2 linked regions of the Oryzias latipes genome follow. The protein of the gene in region 1 interacts with the protein of each later gene in a biochemical or structural test. Links are inferred from orthologs where the notes say so. Each region holds a gene or a part of one and is shown in the gene's direction. Other genes may lie near its edges.

Evidence for each region.
Region 2: the proteins of myog (region 1) and csrp3 form a complex in vitro, tested with the Homo sapiens proteins (2 studies listed by BioGRID and IntAct, with this or other methods). The link is inferred for Oryzias latipes from reciprocal best matches to the Homo sapiens genes MYOG and CSRP3.

Annotation. Positions count from the first base shown.
Region 1 is NC_019863.2:28,569,191-28,573,422, reverse strand, and holds myog (myogenin), read left to right. Parts: upstream 1-1,432; 5' UTR 1,433-1,690; coding exon 1,691-2,218; intron 2,219-2,770; coding exon 2,771-2,870; intron 2,871-2,952; coding exon 2,953-3,071; 3' UTR 3,072-3,797; downstream 3,798-4,232. UniProt on the Homo sapiens protein: Acts as a transcriptional activator that promotes transcription of muscle-specific target genes and plays a role in muscle differentiation, cell cycle exit and muscle atrophy.
Region 2 is NC_019861.2:6,152,497-6,168,308, reverse strand, and holds csrp3 (cysteine and glycine-rich protein 3), read left to right. Parts: upstream 1-2,444; 5' UTR 2,445-2,559; intron 2,560-5,417; 5' UTR 5,418-5,427; coding exon 5,428-5,539; intron 5,540-6,744; coding exon 6,745-6,916; intron 6,917-7,729; coding exon 7,730-7,859; intron 7,860-9,853; coding exon 9,854-9,947; intron 9,948-10,029; coding exon 10,030-10,103; 3' UTR 10,104-10,353; downstream 10,354-15,812. Other genes in the region: palmitoyltransferase ZDHHC13, read right to left, coding at 15,324-15,465. UniProt on the Homo sapiens protein: Positive regulator of myogenesis. Acts as a cofactor for myogenic bHLH transcription factors such as MYOD1, and probably MYOG and MYF6.

The DNA of each region.
Region 1 (4,232 bases):
TGACAGCCCTCTGCAGTCCTGTGCCAGCATCCTACTTTGCATTAACCAGAGCCCAAACCTCAAGACTAGATGACAAGCATAAAAGTAGACATCTGCCTGTCCAGAACTGAAACTTTTCTTCTATTTTGAGACCGACAGCGACTCACTTCTGTAAACAACAAAGGAGAGAAAATTACAAATTAACGTCTACTTCGCTTTAATGAGACGCCACGTCCCTCGAGATGACACGCTTAAATGGATTTCTGTCATGACTGCAGTGGGCTTTTTAAGGTTTGTCATGTCCAGACTTGTTTTTCCTGGACGTATTCGTTGTATCAGGCAGCATAGAAACATGTGGCAGATAGCCCTGGATTGACTAGATGGGCAGTGGGACAGACAGACAGATAGATAGATAGATAGATAGATAGATAGATAGATAGATAGATAGATAGATAGATAGATAGATAGATAGATAGATAGATAGATAGATAGATAGATAGATAGATAGATAGATAGATAGATAGATAGATAGATAGATAGATAGATAGATAGATAGATAGATAGATAGATAGATAGATAGATAGATAGATAGATAACAAAACAGCAGATAATAACAGATAAATAGTATAAAAATGCAGCAAATACACTATAAGGACACAAAATATAGGCAAAACCTATGCCAGGTGATAATTCCTATGGAAAAAAACAAAATGTGATGCAAAGATGCAACAACCCATTCCGTAGCTGCTTCTCTGTTGAATAAAAATGTTTTTGGTTGTGTGTCCATGTTTGGAAAGGTTGGTCGAAATTAACTTGCGAACTTAGAGGTTAGAGACATCCTGGAAGGATTAACACCCGCCCGCCAAGCTAACGCCAGAACTGTCTGGAATAATTTAGGACGTTCCTTCCTTCCTACTTGGTCCTCTCAATACTGTCCCATCCTTTTCCAGAGTGAGCTTGCGTTAGCTTCAATCTTAACTTCCTGAGCTGCCTGTAAAGACTTGTCTTCTACAGAGACAGAGAAGCCTGCTTCATATCAATTGCTTTAATGTCGCCTGTCAGTTTACAGTTATGTCAATTCTCCCACATTGTTTCTGGTGGCCATCACAAAACAAAAACAAACTCTCAATGTCTTGCCACAACATACTGTCCCTGCATGTGTCCCCTTTGCACCCAGAGTGTCCTCCTGAATGAGGTGTTTAGTGGCAGGAAGGGGGAATCTAGTCTGGGATTATCTTATTAAGACAAATACATTTGATCTAAGGTTATCATTTCCTGTTCCACAGCAACTTGATCATATCCTGGTCTCTCAAGACTCAAATGGGTAACATGGAACCGCAGAAGGGCACACACATGCAAACACACCAACATGTCTTAAAGCCCTAGAGAGCAAGGCCCAACAGAGATATGAAGTGTAGATGTGCAGCAACAGCTAAACGTCGTGTCAGGTTTCTGGAGGCAAGTGCTAAATTTAACCCTGTGATCCTGCAACAGGCAGAGGGGTTTAAATGCCAGCCTACAGTTGCTCCACACCAGTTGTTCTCCACACGTCTTCCACTCATCACAAACTCAGGCCAGGAGGAAGACAAGCATACACTTGGACACTCCAACATAAGCTCCAGAAGCAGGACAGAAGAAGACCGAGTCAAGCGTGGTTCCTAAGGGAAAGCGGGATCCTTGCTCCTTCACTTTTAGACCACAGTTGCCCACCATGGAGCTTTTCGAGACCAATCCTTACTTCTTTCCTGACCAGCGCTTCTATGAAGGAGGGGACAGCTACTTCCCCTCTCGCCTGCCCGGGGCATACGACCAAACTGGGTACCAGGACAGAAACTCCATAATGGGTTTGTGCGGAGGCCTCCCTGGAGGTGTTGGAGTGCCAGCACCTGAGGACAAATCATCTCCATCCAGTCTGTCACCTCACTCAGAGTCTCACTGCCCTGGGCAGTGCTTGCCATGGGCCTGTAAGCTGTGTAAAAGAAAGACGGTGACCATGGACCGTCGAAGAGCAGCCACGCTGAGGGAGAAGAGACGTCTAAAGAAAGTGAATGAGGCCTTTGACGCTCTGAAGAGGAGCACCCTGATGAACCCCAACCAGAGGTTGCCCAAGGTGGAGATCTTGCGGAGCGCCATCCAGTACATTGAAAGGCTGCAGGCTCTGGTGTCCTCCCTCAACCAGCAGGACACAGAGACAGGGCAGCAGGGACTGCACTACAGACCCAGCCCGGCCCAGCCAAGAGTAAGTAGGATGGAACCAGGTTTAGGAGAGGGGAGAAGTCACAGAGAGCAAAACCAGCCAAAGAAAAGCAAGAACAGAAACCTTTGACTGATTTGGAAAAAGGAAGACAAGAAGCTACAAACTTGGCTACAAGAGATGGAAAAATTAGGTTTCAGATAAAAAACCTTTTCAGGGCGCAACTTGATGAGCGAACCCATTGTAAGACCTGCTAAAACCGATGGTTGTGGATGTTTCGGAATTTTTATTTAGATATAAATTCCAAATGTTTAAAAAACAAGAATAAGAATATACATGTATGTGTGCTTTTTTAAACCATTTGGGATTATGTAATTATAAAATATTTATATCAACCAAAAGTGACAGTTGCAGTGACACCGACAGCTTATTAATGACCATAATTTAAGATGGAAACTTTAATTTGCTTCTGATAAACCACAGGATGCATTAGTGATTGAGTGTGTGAGGCTACTTCAGTGTTTATCTGCGAGGTTTTGTGCTGCATTAAAACAGTGACTGACAGCAACTTCTGTCTGTGCGTGTCCATGGCAACAGGTGTCATCGTCAAGCGAACCAAGTTCAGGCAGCACCTGCTGCAGCAGCCCCGAGTGGAGCAGCACTCCAGACCAATGCCCGCAAAGCTACAGCAGCGAGGGTGAGTACTCTTCAAAGGTCCCATGAGGTGTCACTAGAACACCTTCACTGGTTTTGACTGTGGAACCCGGTCTTGTCTGCAGATCTTCTGAGTGTTGGTGACTCTCCAGAGCAGAGGAACATGCGCTCCTTGACTTCTATTGTGGAAGGCATCTCTGCGGCTGACGGACCTGTGACCTTTTCTGTGGACATTCCCAAATAGAGCCTGTAACCTGCAGAACCATCCAAGCAGATGCTCAACTTCACAAACACAACAAAAAATGAACATTTGGCAAATATTGCAACAAAAAACCTAGGTTTCCTTTTTTTATTCTGATTTGAGTGTTTTATCTTGTGCAAAATTATAAAAATTTGTCATTGGTTTGTATTAAACTTTATTGTTCCTTAGGTCTTCAAGCCAAAACCAATTCTTCCTTTACACAATGAGACCTCTTTTCCTTATTGCCTGCCTTATCCCATAGTTCAGAGCTGTAGATAACAGGAGCTCACCTGTCAGACTCAAGGATGTTATTGCATGAACCAAAACACCTAATTACCATGTATGCTTGCTTCCAGAATCAAAGATTCATATGACAAAGCTTGGTTCTTCACTTTACTTAAATTAGATGTTTCTCTTTTCAAAACCTTTCCCAAATTTTTCCATTCTTTTTGTGTGAATTTTAAATGTTTAAACAAAACATGAGATTGTTTGTGGGGCCAATATGTACCATGGCAGTTTTGACCAAGATCTGCTTAATTTAAACAGGTTATAAATGCCAGTGATGTAAATATGTTCCCTTTTTTTTCTACAGAGTGGTTTTGCAATTTTATTTTTTATTTTTTTGCTAACTTATTTTTGACTTTTATAACTAAGATTGTTGTGCATTTGTAGATGTTTTCAAAAGTGATATTTTCCTTTCAATTCTTGCTATAAAAAACCTTTTCAATACTTTGCCTGGTGATGATGTCTGAATTTATAACAAAACCAACCTCCAAAATCTTTAAAAAACAACTTTACTCATGTTTACATTGAATCATAAATACAGTACACTTTTTTTGGATAGCCAAATAATAAAATCTTGATTTGTCAGCATTGTTTCACACCTGGAATAAAGACACAGTACTCATAGCTGCCACATAGCACATTACACCTTTACACACCTTGGAAAAAAACTGTAAAATAAATAGATTTATAAAAAGCACAGCCGTCTATCAAACCACTGTTCATGTACTGTGCTCTCTTCGGATGAGGAGTAAGTCAGCCAAGAGACTGCGCTGCAGCACGTTTCCATGGCAACTGAATGGGTGATGCCCATGTGAGACCAGACGAGTTTGCCAGACGATCGTTTGGATTTCATTGGCTGTTGTCGAGCAGCAGTTTACA
Region 2 (15,812 bases), on another chromosome or scaffold:
ATCGCCAAGCTCACGTTTCCCGGGAATCATATTAGAATCCCTCTGGTGGGTGTGACGGCTCCACACTGTGATTTATTTTCTCTTCAGTCATTTCAAAAAGTTGAATATTAACATCAAATCACACCACTGTTTGAAAAACTCTGGTTACTTTTTTCTTGCACAATCCTAAAAGTCAACTGTTGGTAAATATGACATTTTGATGGGTTTAATTTATGATGGGTGACCTTGTTTCAATGTCTTGTAAAATGCAAAATAAATGTCAATGATTTTGTAGAAATGTCAAATCGCTTCTTTATTTTGCATTGAAGTATTTTTTACTACAGTGCTGTATTTTTTAAATATAAAAGAATTAAAATTATAATCTGAGATGTACTGAACCTGTTTACCAATAACAGGATTTTCTTGGTTAATGAAAAAGTTGTCAAAATAAGAGCCTGTAGTTGGCCATATATGTTTCAGAAGGCATAACTGCCATAGAAACAAACTAAGATTAAAGAAATTCTCAAGTACCACAAAAATTGGTTAAAACCTCCTCTTCCAACCTTTTATGTTTTGAGTTCTTCCATTGAAAGAAGATGCTTTTAACCCATTTTCCTGTATCCCTTGTGCTATCAAAGGCACTTTAACATTGGGAATGGGGTCATCTAGACCCACTAGAGTCTAGACAGTGCGCTGAACCTTTTTTCTTCAATGATTTTTGATCTTCACTGGTCTCCACGGTTTACATGAAATCCTCTCCACCTTTATCCACCTTTGTCATGGTAGGGAGAACACGTCAATGTAAGGGTGGGGTCATCTGGACCCCATAAAATAGCAAAAGGGGTATATGAGTGAGTGTGATGTCATCCATAAAAATGCCTTCTGGCTCCAACCAAATGAAGACCATTCAGTTGACATTTTTTACTGCCGGCACCGCCGTGTTGGAGCCACTAGAGGTTAGTAAACAGTGGTTGGTCTGAGTCATTGTTTCTATGGCAACCACTCTCACCAATCAGGAGGGAGCTTGCTGGAAAGTCACACAGCTACTTCTTGAAAGTGGGCTACAAGAAATCTATCAGTCAAAGGTTTTGACGGGGGGGCAAGCAGGCTCCGCCTAGATTTATTGAGACATCTGATTGGTCTTTATAATTTGAATAACTTGCACTACAGGGAAAAAAAGGGATTATCAAGATCAAGGTTAAGAAAAGGTATCAGATCAAGAATTATTCTGACCAATAGAACGACTGAGTAACAGCAGTTTGTTTCTCTATAGACCTCTATGGGATTTTGGCTTCCTGGAGGCAGCAGGTACTTCCTGTTTGGAAGGCCGGGGGGGAGGGGTCACTCAGTCCAATTCCCTTATACAGTCAAGGGTGTAAACAGACCAATAAGGTAGCCACAATGAGCAAAGCTGCAGTTTCACTCTAAAAATGTCTAAAAGTTGTTGTTTTTTATTGCTACAAAAGTCCACTGTATTCTATAGATTGACAGTTAATTTAATGACCATCCATCTATTTTCCAAATTCCCTGAAGCCCTTTCGGGTCACAGGCTGCTGGAGCCTTTTCCAGTTAATGTTGGGTGAAAGCGAGGTAAACTACAGACAGGTAGTCAGTCTGTTGCAAGTCACACATTCACATTCACACTCAAAACCTGTAGAGGGAGGTGAACGTCAGTGTTGCTCAGCAACAGCCACGAAACATCACAGCTCTAGAGAAGATCTGCATGGAGGAATGGACCAAAATTGCAGTTACAGAATAAACTCAGTGAAGACCTACAGGAAACCTTTGACCTCTGTCATTAACAACCAGGGTAACAATACAAAGTATTGAAAAGAACTTGTATTGACCAAATACTTCTTTTCAAATCCATTCAATGGGATTTCCTAGATTCGTTTTAAACATTCTGTCTCTCATAGTTGTGTTTCCATGATGAACATTATAGACCTCTTATCTTTTAAGGTTAAATAACTTGCTGAATCTATGTTTCTCATTAAGAATTCAATTTTTTTCTCCCTAAATTTTTGAATTCCACTTTTTTATCCCAATGTATCATTTGGATGTGTACAAGAAGGTTTTTTATAGGAAAACGTAAAAAAGCAAAGTTCACTTTTAGTTTAAAACGTTTCTCTACAAAGTCTAGAAAAGTTTTGTAGACTCACAGGTGTGACAGTCAAAAACAAAACCATTTCTGTTCTAGAACAGTAAATAAGAGGATGCCTGGAGGAGAATACTTTCCACAAACTCAGCAGCAGTTTTTGATTCCTGTAAAACAGTGTTTCTTTAGGCTTGCAGCACAGTCTATGTTTATACCATGATACTGTGGCATTCAGGGCAGATGGCCTTTGAGCCACAGTTATCAAGTCAGAGCTCCCAGCATGGGTCAGTGAATGCAGCACAAATGCTCCAGTGGCTGATGTTCAAGCCTTATTCAGATAGGGATAAAGGGTCAGGGGGGCCTCCTCTCCGTCACATGTTATTTTGAGAGGATAGTTTCATCAAGGCGTTGCCAGAGTGCTGCTGATGTGAAGACGGTATTTAAACCTCTCTGTCATAAGCAAAGCACTCTGACAGAGACTACAGGTAAGGCGCATGTCTCTTTCTCTTCAAGCTTATCTTTTAGAAGCATATTGCAGTCCATTGGAAATAGCACGCTCAATTTAAGTTTTCTCTTCATAATGACAACAATTTCCTGATTTTTGACTTTTCTGCTTCATGTAAAAACCAAGATTACAGTTCATTTTCAGTTGAGGTCTATCTTTGTCCCTGATAAAACCACAGGATTTGCTGACTTACCATTCATTGTATGATGTCAAAATGATGATTTTATTTTGAAATGCACTTTTCCAGCCCTGTGACGTGTCAGATACCTCTGATAGGAGGTGAGAGCCCAAAAACCAGACGAGAAGCCTCAGTTCAGCAACGTGGCTCTTTCAGGTTTCACAAAAGTCTATGGATAACTGATGATGCGTCAAAACTTAATATAAATATTGTGGCTTAAATGGGAAAAACATTTTGAAAATTACATAAAACCACGGAACTAAAGAAAGCAGTTTTTTTTACTTAGAGAATAATTAGTTATGATCTCCTTTTGACTACTTTTGTTAAGTCTAAACTAAAGCATCAATCCATCCATTTGTCTAACCTGCTTAATACCATGGGGTTGCTGGAACCTATCCCTGCTACTGTTGGCGAAGCAGGGTACATCCTGAACAAGTCCCCAGTCTGTCTCAGGGCCAAAGTAAAACATACAGAATATATTTTAAAAAACTAAGACTAAAAACACTTTTAATGATTAGGGAATAAATAATTAAAAAATGTGAAAAGTCAGAAAAACAATGACGGAGAAACAAAGCAGATTGATGGCAGCAACTTAGAAACATCTTCCCTCAGTTACGTATTTAAGGCGGTTACAGCTTTTAGGGATGACTTCAGAATGGCCCATTTCTCCTTCGCTCAGTATTTTTTTCTCCCTGTATTGTTAAGACAGAAAATTCCTGGTTTCTGGCTGAACTCAGGTCCTCAGTGACCTGAGTTCAGCCAGGTGAGGGTGGGAGCTGACTGAGCAGTTCTTTTGGAGCTCTCTGACTTTAGTCACGACTGCCCTTACGGGTGGATACAGGCTGTCTGCCAGCGAAAAATGGGTGAACCTGTGCGGGGCATGCAGGTGCCCTGCACAAAATTTTAAGATTGTTGACCACTTGGACTACTCGGTCAGCATGGTTTTTTTCTACGGGCATGATATAGGTGACATTTCACTTCCCCCTTCCAGCAAGGAAGGGGGAAGTAGGTGAGATGCAGGCATGTACGATTTTTCATTAGTTGAACCATCCAAATCCTGCTCGGCCCACGAGGAGCACATTAGTGCTGTCCACGTGAGAAGTGCATGCAGCCTAAATTGTAGAATTGAGGAAATTAGACAAAGTGTGGTTTGTAAGCATTCCACTGGCTTCCTATGGGCCGTTAGGTATTATCTGCACACCCCGTGCCTGCAGCATTTGCATGAGTCGGTAGGGGTCCAGGTACTCCCACCTTACTAATGATTAGAGTTTGGCGTAAGGACATCGTACAACAGCATCACCCTAAAGGCCTGTTCACACCGGGACGAATTTCGCCGGCGATTTTCGCCGACGTTTAACGCCTCGTGACTAACAAAGGGCACCAATGAGAGTGTGCACACCGACGGGAAAAAACGCCACGCGCCAAAGCGTCAAAAAAAAAAACGCCTCGGGTTCGTTTTTTTTTTTCGACGCGTCGAAATCTATTCGACCAATGAGAATGGCGCTTTTGCACACGTGTCTGGAGCTTCTGAAGTTACAGTAAAACACAACTTGGGGGCGCTCAAACACAAAACTGCCTTGCTGAGCACACATACCAGCGAAGAAGATAGACGCCAAGTAGCGTCTACACTGCCGCAAAGAAATAATGACGGATATTCTTAAATATCCCCTTACCAAGTACCAGTTGGAGCTACTGGTGCTTGAAATATTCATGTTTTCTTTGTATTATTCTGACAAGCGCGTAAATACTTGCTCTCTTCTTCTGAGTGAAAAGCGACTTTAAGAATCGTAAAGTTGCGCAGCGCCACCTTGTGTACAGGAGTATTTCTGTTTACATTAAGCGCCATCTAATGTCAGGGAATGAAATTGCATGTTCGCTCGGCTCACCGTCAGCGAAAATCGCCTGGGTGTGAACACAAAAAACGTGGCGAAAAACGCTGGCGAATAACGCCTGGCGAATATTCGTCCCGGTGTGTACGGGCCTTAACTTTGGTGCAATTTACATTATCCTTATGAAACTTCACGATACGCCTACCACACACACACAATCGGACAATACATTTTTATGACTTCCCTTGAGGTGGGTGTATGACACACCCGCACTCCCTTTCAGATGCAGCCGTACCTCCCTACGACCCTCTATGTCTCAGATAGAGATGGTTTGGACACGTTGAGAGGAGGGACAATGGTGATGTTGGGAAAAGGATGCTGAGCACAGAGAGGAAGACCAAAGAGGAGGTTCATGGATGTAGAGAACAGGAGGACATGGGGGTGGTTGGTGTAAACGAGGACAATGCAGAGGAGAGGATTAGATTTAGGCAGAGGATTCAATGTGGCGCCCCCTTCAGGGACTTTTTCTTCATCACACTATTTTTTGCTTGACAAACCGACACAAGATGTTGCACCAGCATGCGGGCCTCCACTGCTTCAGGCTCAGAACCATGGCCTCAAACCTGGAGCTCCTTATTCTCATCCCAGTCCTGTTATGCTCAACTGAATATTTTTGGCATGAAATCAGAAAAAATAATGTCACTCACTAAATCTTTTAAGGTTTTTGTGTGTCACTGCTCTGCTTAGAACTGTCAAGACGCCCAAAGCACAACTACTCCTGAATTTAAAAAGAGTTTGTAGACTAATACGATCGTTTGTCTTTGTTTCAAGCTGCTTTGGGATGCCTAACTGGGGAGGAGGAGCTTCCTGTGCAGCCTGTATGAAGACTGTGTACCATGCTGAGGAGATCCAGTGCAATGGGAGGAGCTTCCACAAAACCTGCTTCATCTGCAGTGAGAAAATGTTCTTTGTTGCAATGGTTTCACTTGTCAGTGTCTCATCTGGTAGAAATATTTCCCCAGGATTTGATCAAAGTTCATTGTTGTCTCAGATCAAAGAGAAAAATTAGAAATATTCTGGACACTGTTTTAGAGCTTCTCTCATCTAAAATTTCCGTCCATTTAATTATTTAAGTGTTTAATTAGTTTATTATGAGTTTTTAAATTTTTTCCCCTCACTTTCAGTTTAGCATTTTATGTCTTGATTATTATTGTTCTGTCCCGCAGGAGTCCAATATCACTTTGTGTTCACAATTCTTCTTTCTTACAGTGTGATTTAGCAAAAATGTAACCCCCAGCACATATTCCAAAACTCACCAAAATTTGCACGCAACTAGTACCCAGTGAAAATGATTTTTGGGAAAAGTGAACCACCCCCTCACACACACACACACACGAAAAAATGACGACATAATTGTGGGCGAAACCGTAAAAAATGGGGTCAAAAATTCTTTGACCCCATTCATTATCTCCCAGCAGACGTGTTGGGGAGATCCAAAGGAGGTTTTAAAATTATTAAGGGATGGACACGGGACCTACGGTTTGGCGGCCATTTTGTGGCAAAGTGTCAAATTTTGTGATTTTCACATTTTCCTGCAATATAGGGAAAAAACTTTTGTTTAAGCAATCTTCAGAAAATTTCACACACATATCACTAGCTTCAATCTCCAACCACAACCAAAGTTTCATTGACCTTTGACCTCAGGAAGACGTAGTCACCTTGAATATTCAAAAAAAAAATCCTTTTAGCAACGCTGTAAATTCCTCCTGCGGGTTTTTAAACCTTCTGCAACCAAGCTTTTGCTAAATCTCTGTATTAATTGAACACTTGCTTGTGCAGAGACATTAACATTCTGGCTTGTTAGGTAACTGGATAACCGACTGACATGTTGTTCCAGTGGAAACTCTAAAAGACCTTTTCGATAAGCTCATCCATCGGCTAAGTGGTCATCTTTTCTCCAGCATTTACCTCACACTCCTCTCTCTTTCTACAAATAGCAACACAAGACATCATGTGTTGCTGTTCCATGATAAAAGCAGCTGGCTGTCAGCTTTATTTAACTTCCATTACCCCCTTCATGGCATTCCTCACTCAGGGTAATGGAGTGATTCCTCTGTGCCAGGTTTCATGAGGGACTATTCATGTTACTTTCATGCAGTGAGTTGCAGAAAAGGGCTGGACAGTACCACCGTTGCAGCCCATGACTCAGAGATTTACTGCAAGACTTGTTATGGCAAGAAGTATGGACCAAAAGGCTATGGATACGGTCAAGGAGCAGGAGCTCTGAGCTCTGATCCTGCAGGACCGGAAGAAGACCTGCAGCCACAAGAGTACGTAAAGAAGGTTGATTGCAGAGCCCTGTTTATATTTTACTGTAGATATAAACAAAAAAAAAAGACCATTTGGTGGAGGAGCTCTACAAACCTTTTCTTTGGCTGTTACCATGACAGCAAACACTTCAAACTATTGACTGTAGATGAGAACTGGACGGAGTGACCCCTCCCCCCTGGGGTTCCAAACAGGAAGTACCTGCTGGCTCCAAGAAGCCAAAATCCCATAGACTTCTATAGAAAAACTAAACAGCTGTCAGTCAGTCTATTGGTCATAACTATTGTTGGTCTGATCCTTTTTTTAACATGTTCTTGATCCTCATTTTTTAAATGACATTTTCCTTTATGGCAAGTTATTCAAGGTATAAACTGACTAGTCAGATGCCTCAATAAAGCATGAAGTATCTGCAGGCCCCCATGTCCAACGTTCAAAACATTTGATTGACAGATTTCATGTAGCCTACTGTCAAGTCAAAGGTGTCAATGTGTTTTGTGTTTCAACAAGCTCCCTTCTAATTGCTGAGAGTTGTTACCATAGAAATAATGATTTAGACTGACTCAGACCAATCACTGCTTTCTGACGTTGTCTGGGTTCATGGTGGCGTCTGTATCGAAAAAAATGGCGACTGAATTGACTTCCTCTGGTTGGAGCTGGGTGACGTCATCCTCACTCCAGTTCTCGTATACAGACAAAGCTTCAAACGGGACATCTGAACTTTAGCTGATCCGTTTCATGTTTTGCAATTGTAACCAAAGATGCAGAGTCACATGTTCGTTCTTTAAAACCTAACTGGGCCCACCATTTTTGTCTAGATCTAAGCCCCGTCCGGTCTCTTCCAACCCCAGCACCAATAAGCTTTCACAGAAGCTTGGGGGATCAGACCACTGCCCCCGCTGCTCCAAAGCTGTCTACGCAGCAGAGAAGGTGATGGGAGCAGGAAAGGTAAACACTCCCTCTGACTCCGGATGTTTTCGGTCTATCAGTATTTTTATGTGCATTTACAACAATCCCCAGAGCTAACAGTTATTGATTCCAGCAGCTTTCATGTTCCTCCTCCAAACCAAAAGGTTTTGGAACAAACACGTAGAGAAAATTCTCAACTGCTGAATGCAACCAAAACATATACAAAAGTCATTAGCACACTCTGTGAAATTAATCTTGTTCCAAGTCTTATTTATCAGACACACATAATTTTTCATAATCTGGTACAGATTTTCAGGAATTCCAATCCTAAATCTTTTTTCCTGCACACACACACGCTCACACAAACACACACTCGTTTAAGATGACCAGACAGTTTTAGTGGCTGGAAGCCGACACATGTGATCCAAACTTCTCTGTTGACGAAACCCACAATGCTCAAAGAGATCATTTCTGACCAAAGAATTATTTGATGCAAATGAAAACCCTACTTTACTTTGAATTAATGTAAAACAGCAAATAAAAAACATGACAAAGTCAGCAAATCCTTTTTTTTCATATGCTGAGAATTTTGGCAGATCTGGCAGATAAAAGTGTAAATTTTGAACATAGGGAAGTATCAGCTAATTAGAATTAAAGTGTTTTTAAATATAGTTTTCTGCTGTTCTGGTGGAGCTCTTTGAACGTGGACCCCAGAGGATTTTCTCAGAGGGTTGGAAAACAAAGAAACGTAGACAAGTACGGTATGTTAAAGGCATCCCTGGCCTCAGCCAGCTGTGTGGGCCACTTCTCGTGACCAAATGGCTCCATCTATCTCCGGTTTGGAGTATTTCAGCTCTTGGACTTTGAGACCAGACTGTCTGATACTCCTGCACATTTCTCTCCAGTGACAGTAGGAAAACTGTTTGATACTTGATATCAAAATAAAATAAATACTCTTTGATGATGATCAAAGAGTATAGATTTGATGATTTGACAGTGTTTCAGTTTTCAATGTAGTGAAGTTTAAAATATTTTCCAGGTTGTGAAAGCAGAAAAATCCATCAGTCAGATGTGTAGAGTTAAGTTAGATTTTTTATTTTCTGGAATATGCATACAGTAAGCCATTTGTAAATTGTTGTACTTGTATGTGATTGCTTTAAATTGTGGGATTTCATTACCTAAACTAGTCTTTTTGGACCTGTAAAGCTAAAGAAAAATAGAGTTATTAAACGATGAGAGGTAAAAAAAAAAAAAGTGTAAAAATTACCTCTGAAGAAGGAGAGGCAGAAATGTCTCACAAATGAACGAATTTGGTTTTCTGCACTGGTTTGAAAAACCTTTTTTTACCCACTTAGAAAAAAATTGTGTTTTTAACAACTTCTTGTGGCATTTTTTCATAAGATGGACATTTATAAATAAAATTACCAGTAAGCTTAAGAGCTAAGAGTATTTCTTTACACATAAAACTGTTGTAAAACAGAAGCAGATGTGGAAAAACGTTTAAATTCTTTTGAAAAAGAGTGTATTTGTGATGTATAAAATCCACTTAGTGTGCCACAGTTTCCCTGCTCTGCTTCATTCTGATTCATCTACTTCCAGACAAATAGATCCATGAACGTCATTGTTTTCCTCGTCTGAGCTGAAATCTGGCTAAAACTGTACTGCTGGATAGCTCTGATATTACTTACCATTTTTGCTGCAGCGGTTAATGTTAAGGCGGGGGTGTGAGGGGGCTGTAAGCTAGCGGGAGAGAGTGTTAACAGATAGACAATGGGAAGTGGGGGCAGGCTTACTTGGCGCCAACAGTCCCACCCACGACTCAGAGGTGAATTTCTGATCGACTGCTGCTCTGCAGAAATTATGTCGTAGAAAACAAGACAGGTTTCTTGATTTTTGCTAAAAAATAATAATTAAAATGCCATTGGGCACTCTTTTGAAGGAAAAAAATATGATCGGAGTGGGTCTTGAAATGGTACTTGTCAGATGAAAAATCAAACAATCCAACTTGCGTTGCCATAACTTTCTGTGTACAGGCGTGGCATAAAACCTGCTTCCGCTGCGCTCTCTGTGGCAAAAGCCTGGAGTCGACCACAGTGACTGACAAGGATGGAGAGCTGTACTGCAAAGGTTCGTAGAGAACATCCATTTGTTGGTCTGAAGAAACGCTGCCTGGAACTCAAGGAGCCGTCTGATCTTATTTCCTTTTCAGTTTGTTACGCAAAAAACTTTGGTCCAAAAGGCTTTGGATTAGGAAACGCTGCCATGTTGGAAGAACGAGAGTGAACCCCGTAGGACTGCCGTCTTTGTGGAGGCACGTCCTTCACTTTAACACCAGCTAATGATCGCTACACCAGACAAAGAGCATTCAAGACAGAAATGTCTCTAAGTGGATTCAATGAATGAAAAAAAAAGTTTCAAATGCAAACTGAGATCTTTTTTAGAGTCCAGAGTGGGTGGAATATGTTTGTTGCATGTTGTCCCAGCTAGTAGCAGCACAATGGATTACATCATTAAAGATGCTTGCTACAATCGGTTCAGTCTTCCTTTAATCTGGGGTCATGTGTGAAAATCAATTACAGATATTATAGCAATAAGTGAACAACAAAATGTAACAGCCATCCAAAGCCAAACTCTATAAATCATTAAGCTGAAACTAAGTAGCTAAAAACATCAGGGAGACTGGGAGGAAGGTGGTCAGTGTGTCATCTGGAATGCGGAAAGCAGATAAGGAGATGTGGGGGTGGAATGAAGAAGTTCAGGGGTTGGGTGTTAAGAGGAAAAGGTTTGCTCAGAAAAAGTGGGACACTGAGAGGACCGAAGACAGTAGCAGAGAAGATGCAGCACAAGTTGAAGGTGAAGGTGAAAAAATACACTAACAAAGGCCGTGTTAAAACTTGCAGTTCTGACACAAAGGAGGAAGGGAATAATCTGTACAGGTGAGGCAGAGTAACAGAAATGGAAGGATGTGCAGCAGGTCAGGGGGATCAAGGACAAATGGTAAAATGTTAAATGGCGTAGACGTATATAGCACTTTTCAAAGGTCCAAAGGGCTTTACAGTCACATTCACACACACATAAACATACTGATGGCTGCTCCATTGCTGAACACCGGCACGAACCTATAACCGCCGGAGAAAACGTATGGTTCAGTGTCCTGCTCAAGGACACTTCAACACATGGGCAGGCAAGGCAGGAGCCAAACCTACAAACTTCCGATCAGATAGTTGATGAATCAGAAGAATACCATAAAAAAAGGAGAAGAGGTGGACATTATAGAACAGGAAGCACCAAAGATCAACCAGGATAAAGTGAGGAAGAGATTGAAGAGAATGAAGAGTGGAAAGGCTGTTTGTGTTGACAACTTACCTGTGACGGTATGGAGGTGTTTAGGGGGAGTGGCAGTTGACCTTCTGGCTGGAATGTTCAACAAGATCTCGGAGAGTGAGACAATGAGAAGGAATGGAGGAGAAGAGTTCTGGTTCCATTTTAAGAAAAAGGCAGACGTGCCGAGGAGTGAGGCTGATGGGTAATACCATGAAGTTATGGGGAAGAGTAGTGGAAGCTAGGATGAGGGCATCCGTATGTATGTTTCATTCGAAGAGAAGGAACTGTATTTGTGCAGGACATGTATGAGAGCTGTAGAACAGGTGTAGTGTGTGACAGAGGGGTTTCAATTAGAACCACAATTAATGCAGATCATGATGTTTGCAGATGACATTGTGATCTGTAGTGAGAGAAGGAAACGGGTGGAGGAACATCTAGAGAGGTGGAGGTTTGCTCTGGAAAAGAAAAGAATGAAGGTCAGCGGCAGCAGAACAGTCTGTAAGTAAATGAGAGGAACTCAAGCGGAACAGGAAGGTTACAGGGAACAGATGAGAAGAAGGTGGAGGACTTTAAGGACTTAGGGTCTACAATCCAGAGCAACAGGGTGTAGGGAAGAGATAAAGAGGATGAAACAGGTGGAGGAAGGTTTCTCAAAAAGAGTGTCACCAAGGACAAAAGGAGAGGTGTAGAAGATTGTGGTGATAGCGACCATGTTGTTGGTCTAGAGCAGGGCTGCTGATTACCTGGACCAGGTGTGTTCATTCAATCAGAATCTGGAGATATCTGATTGAGCTAATCAGCAGCTAGCAGGGCTTGGAGATCTGGAGAACAGTCAGGGTGGTAGACCTCGAGGACCAGGAATGAGCAGCCCTAGTTTAGAGACTCTAATGCAGAGACAGGAGATAGATGCTGGATGTAGCAGAGGTGAAGATGTTGGATGGATCAGGAATGAATCCATCAAAAGGAACAGATCACGGCAGATGTTCTGGAGATAAATGCAGAGGAGGAACAGTGATTATGTTGATAAAAGGATGCTGAGGTTGGAGCTACCAGTAAATACGTCTAGAGAAGGCACGTCTTGAAGTCTGGCCAAATGTGGCCCCACATTCAAATTTCTACCTGTCTGCAGGCTCCTGTCCTAAACTCAATGATACGTAAATTCTAAGAGCTATGATTTCTTGATTGTAATTGGCTAAATTACAAGCACTTCCTAAGCCGTTGTGAACCTGTGGGTACTCGACCTTCAGAGACTTAAGGGCCACTTAAGGGCTACTCTTCTGTGATTAAAATAAGAAAACTGTGTTATTTTTTTCCCCATAACACTTAAATTTAAAAGTATACATTGAGCATTTCAGAATGAATAATGGTAAATGCTGTGAACTTGTATAGCGCTTTTCTGGCTTCCTCAATGTTAACAAAATACTTTTTTCCCCAGAGTTTTTTTTATTTTATTTCTGGTCTTCAAATCAGAAATTCCCAGTAATATGACACTATTGATCATAACATTTTATTAAAACAAATTGCAAAGATATGGAAAACAAGAACTGGTACTAATTTAGTTCAACAGTAGGATTAAAAACAGGCAACAGTTTGTACAACTGGAAAACAACTGGACAACTGGAGTACCACAAGGGTCAATATTAGGTCTAAAACTGTTCATCCTATATCTAAATGACATACACATGGTGTCAAATACACTTAATTACTTTTTATATGCCGACGACACAATTATAGTATGTACAGGGGAGAATCTCAGGAAAGTTGTAAAACTAGTAAATAGTTTTAATTAGGGAAACTAAAACAATTGTTTGACATAAATAAACTCTCACTCAGTGTTAAAACTAATTCATGATTTTTGAAAGTTGCCACGTTCCTGCAAATCTGGAAGTAAAAGTTGCCATCAATATTCATGTGGTTAAAGAGTGACTGAAACTAAGTTCCTTGGAGTAATTATGGACCATAAGCTGGAAGCCACAAATGAAGAAAGTCAGAGCTAAATTTGTTAAAAGCATAGCAGTGTTGGGAAAAAAGTGTCATACACTCACAAAGCATGTCTACTAATACATTCAAGAAAAATAAATCTGAACCTGTGAATGAAAGAAAAGGGAAATCAATGACAAAACACTAAAGTCCCTACTAACAAACAGGAGAGAACAGATGTGAAAGTAAAAGGCAGTTCACCCCTAAAGCCTCACTTAAACATACCGTAACTACGAACAAAAGACTAAAACTGTGCAATCGTCCAACACAAACTACAAAGCAGGTGGCGTAGAGCACCAAGCTGCAGTGGCGGCAGGTTGCAGAAAGTCACCTTTTCGCAGGTTGGAGGTCTACCTAGTGCTTTCAAAGGCTGCCTCCATCAGCTTGGGTCCAATGGAAGCCACACCTTCTCAGCCCCACACCTGAAAATAATCAAACAGACACACACACACACACAACGATCCACAAAAACACAGAGGTCCCACTCTGATACAAACAAGATACACAAAACAGAAAAAAAAAAAACAAATAAAGCCACAGCCAGAGGAGTGGTCCCGGCCTGCATCTGGGGGTGGGGGCACCCCCCATATACTTATGACACTCTTATGTTGTGACTCTGTATTAACGACCCCCCCTCTATCTGTAACATCCAACTTTCTCCCTTTATCTTCTTTCTGTCCAACAAGGAATGTATATAAATATAATTATAAAGAAAGCTTAGCCTCAAATGCAAAAAGGGTTTACAGTAAACCCTTGTTTTTCGCGGGGATTACGTTCCAAAAAGGACCCGTGATAGGTAAAATCCGTGAAGTAGAAACCTGTATTTTTTTTTTTACAATTATTATACAATTAAATACTCTATTATACATTGAAAAGAAAGAACAAACCATTTTACAGGCTCAAGCATTTGTTTCACAAATAAAAGTACTTTAGAAACTTTTTTTCAACAAATAACTTCTGTACTGTACTGTCAAATGATAATTTTAATCATCAATGTGAACAGAAGGCTTCAAATCGCGAAGATTAGCCCCGCCCACCGCGACCCGAGTATTGGATTAAACGGGAGAAAATTTAAAATGATTATGAAACAAAAATACAAAGTACAGTTGGACAAATAGTGACTCAGGTGTATTTCACTGCTATTCAGACTGAGCCGCTGCATCCTGACTCCGCTCTGCAGTGTTTTCTTCTTTTAAAGCCAGCGGTGCAGGTGTGTTTGTTCGGGGGAAGAACATAGTGATAGGCAGTTGTTGCTCTTTTTTCTATGGGTTTTAGAGAAACTCGAAATTGCAAGATGATTTGCACGTACATCATGTTGTAAATTTGGCAAGCTGATTTACTTATGTGTACATATTAAACTGCAACATTATTGATGCACAGGTAGAGAAGAAGCTGAGTGACTTTTTAGCCAATCAGAATACAGAACACAATGCACGATGCAAATCCGTGAAGTAGCGAAACCGTGAAAAACAAACCGCATTATAGCGAGGGATCACTGTATACAAATATGAACTTCACGTGTGAAGATTCATAACCTCCTGTTAAACATCTGTCCAACACAAGAGGCCTTCAGCTCGGATCTGTTTGCTCAGGTGTGGGACAGGACAAGTTCAAATAAATAAATACATTTAAGGACTTGAGGGTGGTCAGTGTTGACGAGGACGACAGACATGCTGTAAGTAGATGAGTTACTGTGTCGCCCCCTAAAGGGAGGAGCTAGAAGGCAACGATTTGCTGATGAGTTACTCCAGGCAGAGGCTGATCCAAAAACAGGCACAAAGTTGCTTTATTGAACCATCATAGTGGTTGTTAATAAACACATGCAACTCTTACAAAAGTGATAAAACCATCGTACACATACAAAGATTGTTTTTAAATGTCAGAACGGATGATAAAAATAGGCTTTAGATTTTCTGTAATATATAAACAGCACATCCTTTCAATTACAGCTTAGGACTTTAATGGTTATTCATCCACGTTGCCATGGATCTGATGTTCCCTTTCCTCACTTCGGTCAAGTATAAGGCAGCAGCAGCAGTCTGTACAGAGATCAGCTGAATGACAGAGTCCACATGTTGGTTTGTGTTCCCACAGTACCACAGCCTCCCTTTGAGAGGAACCAACACGTACAAGAATAAATACATTCTGTGCTTTTGGTCCAGAACCAGAGTCTGACCCTGAGGGATAGGGGGGAGGAGGTCAGACCATGTTGCCTTGATCGAACAAAAACTGGTCACACTGCGGCGGGTGCTGCTGCTGCGTCCAGTCCGTAACAACTGGCTTGCAGAATCCACAACAGCGCAGCTGAAAGAACGACACCAGGTTCTGCACCACACCCATGCTGTAAGAGGACGAAGAGAGGAGAACACAGGACGTCTTTGAACCAGGATTCAAACAACTGACAGAAAGCTTTCACTGCAGTTACACTAACATTACACTACATGAATTAAAGACCCATTCCAATGTGTTTTTGGTGGTTTTAACATGTTTTTGTAGCATGTTTCTCATGATGGAGAACAAATAAAGAAATTTGAGATTAAATTTATGTTTGAGTATTTCTTTATAAAAATTGTTGTAAATCAGGAGCTGATGAAAAAAGCTAGTAGTTGTTATGAACAAACTATAGTCAGCAGGCCACAATCTCCCTGCCCTGCTCCATTCTGATTTATCCACTGTCAGACGAACAGA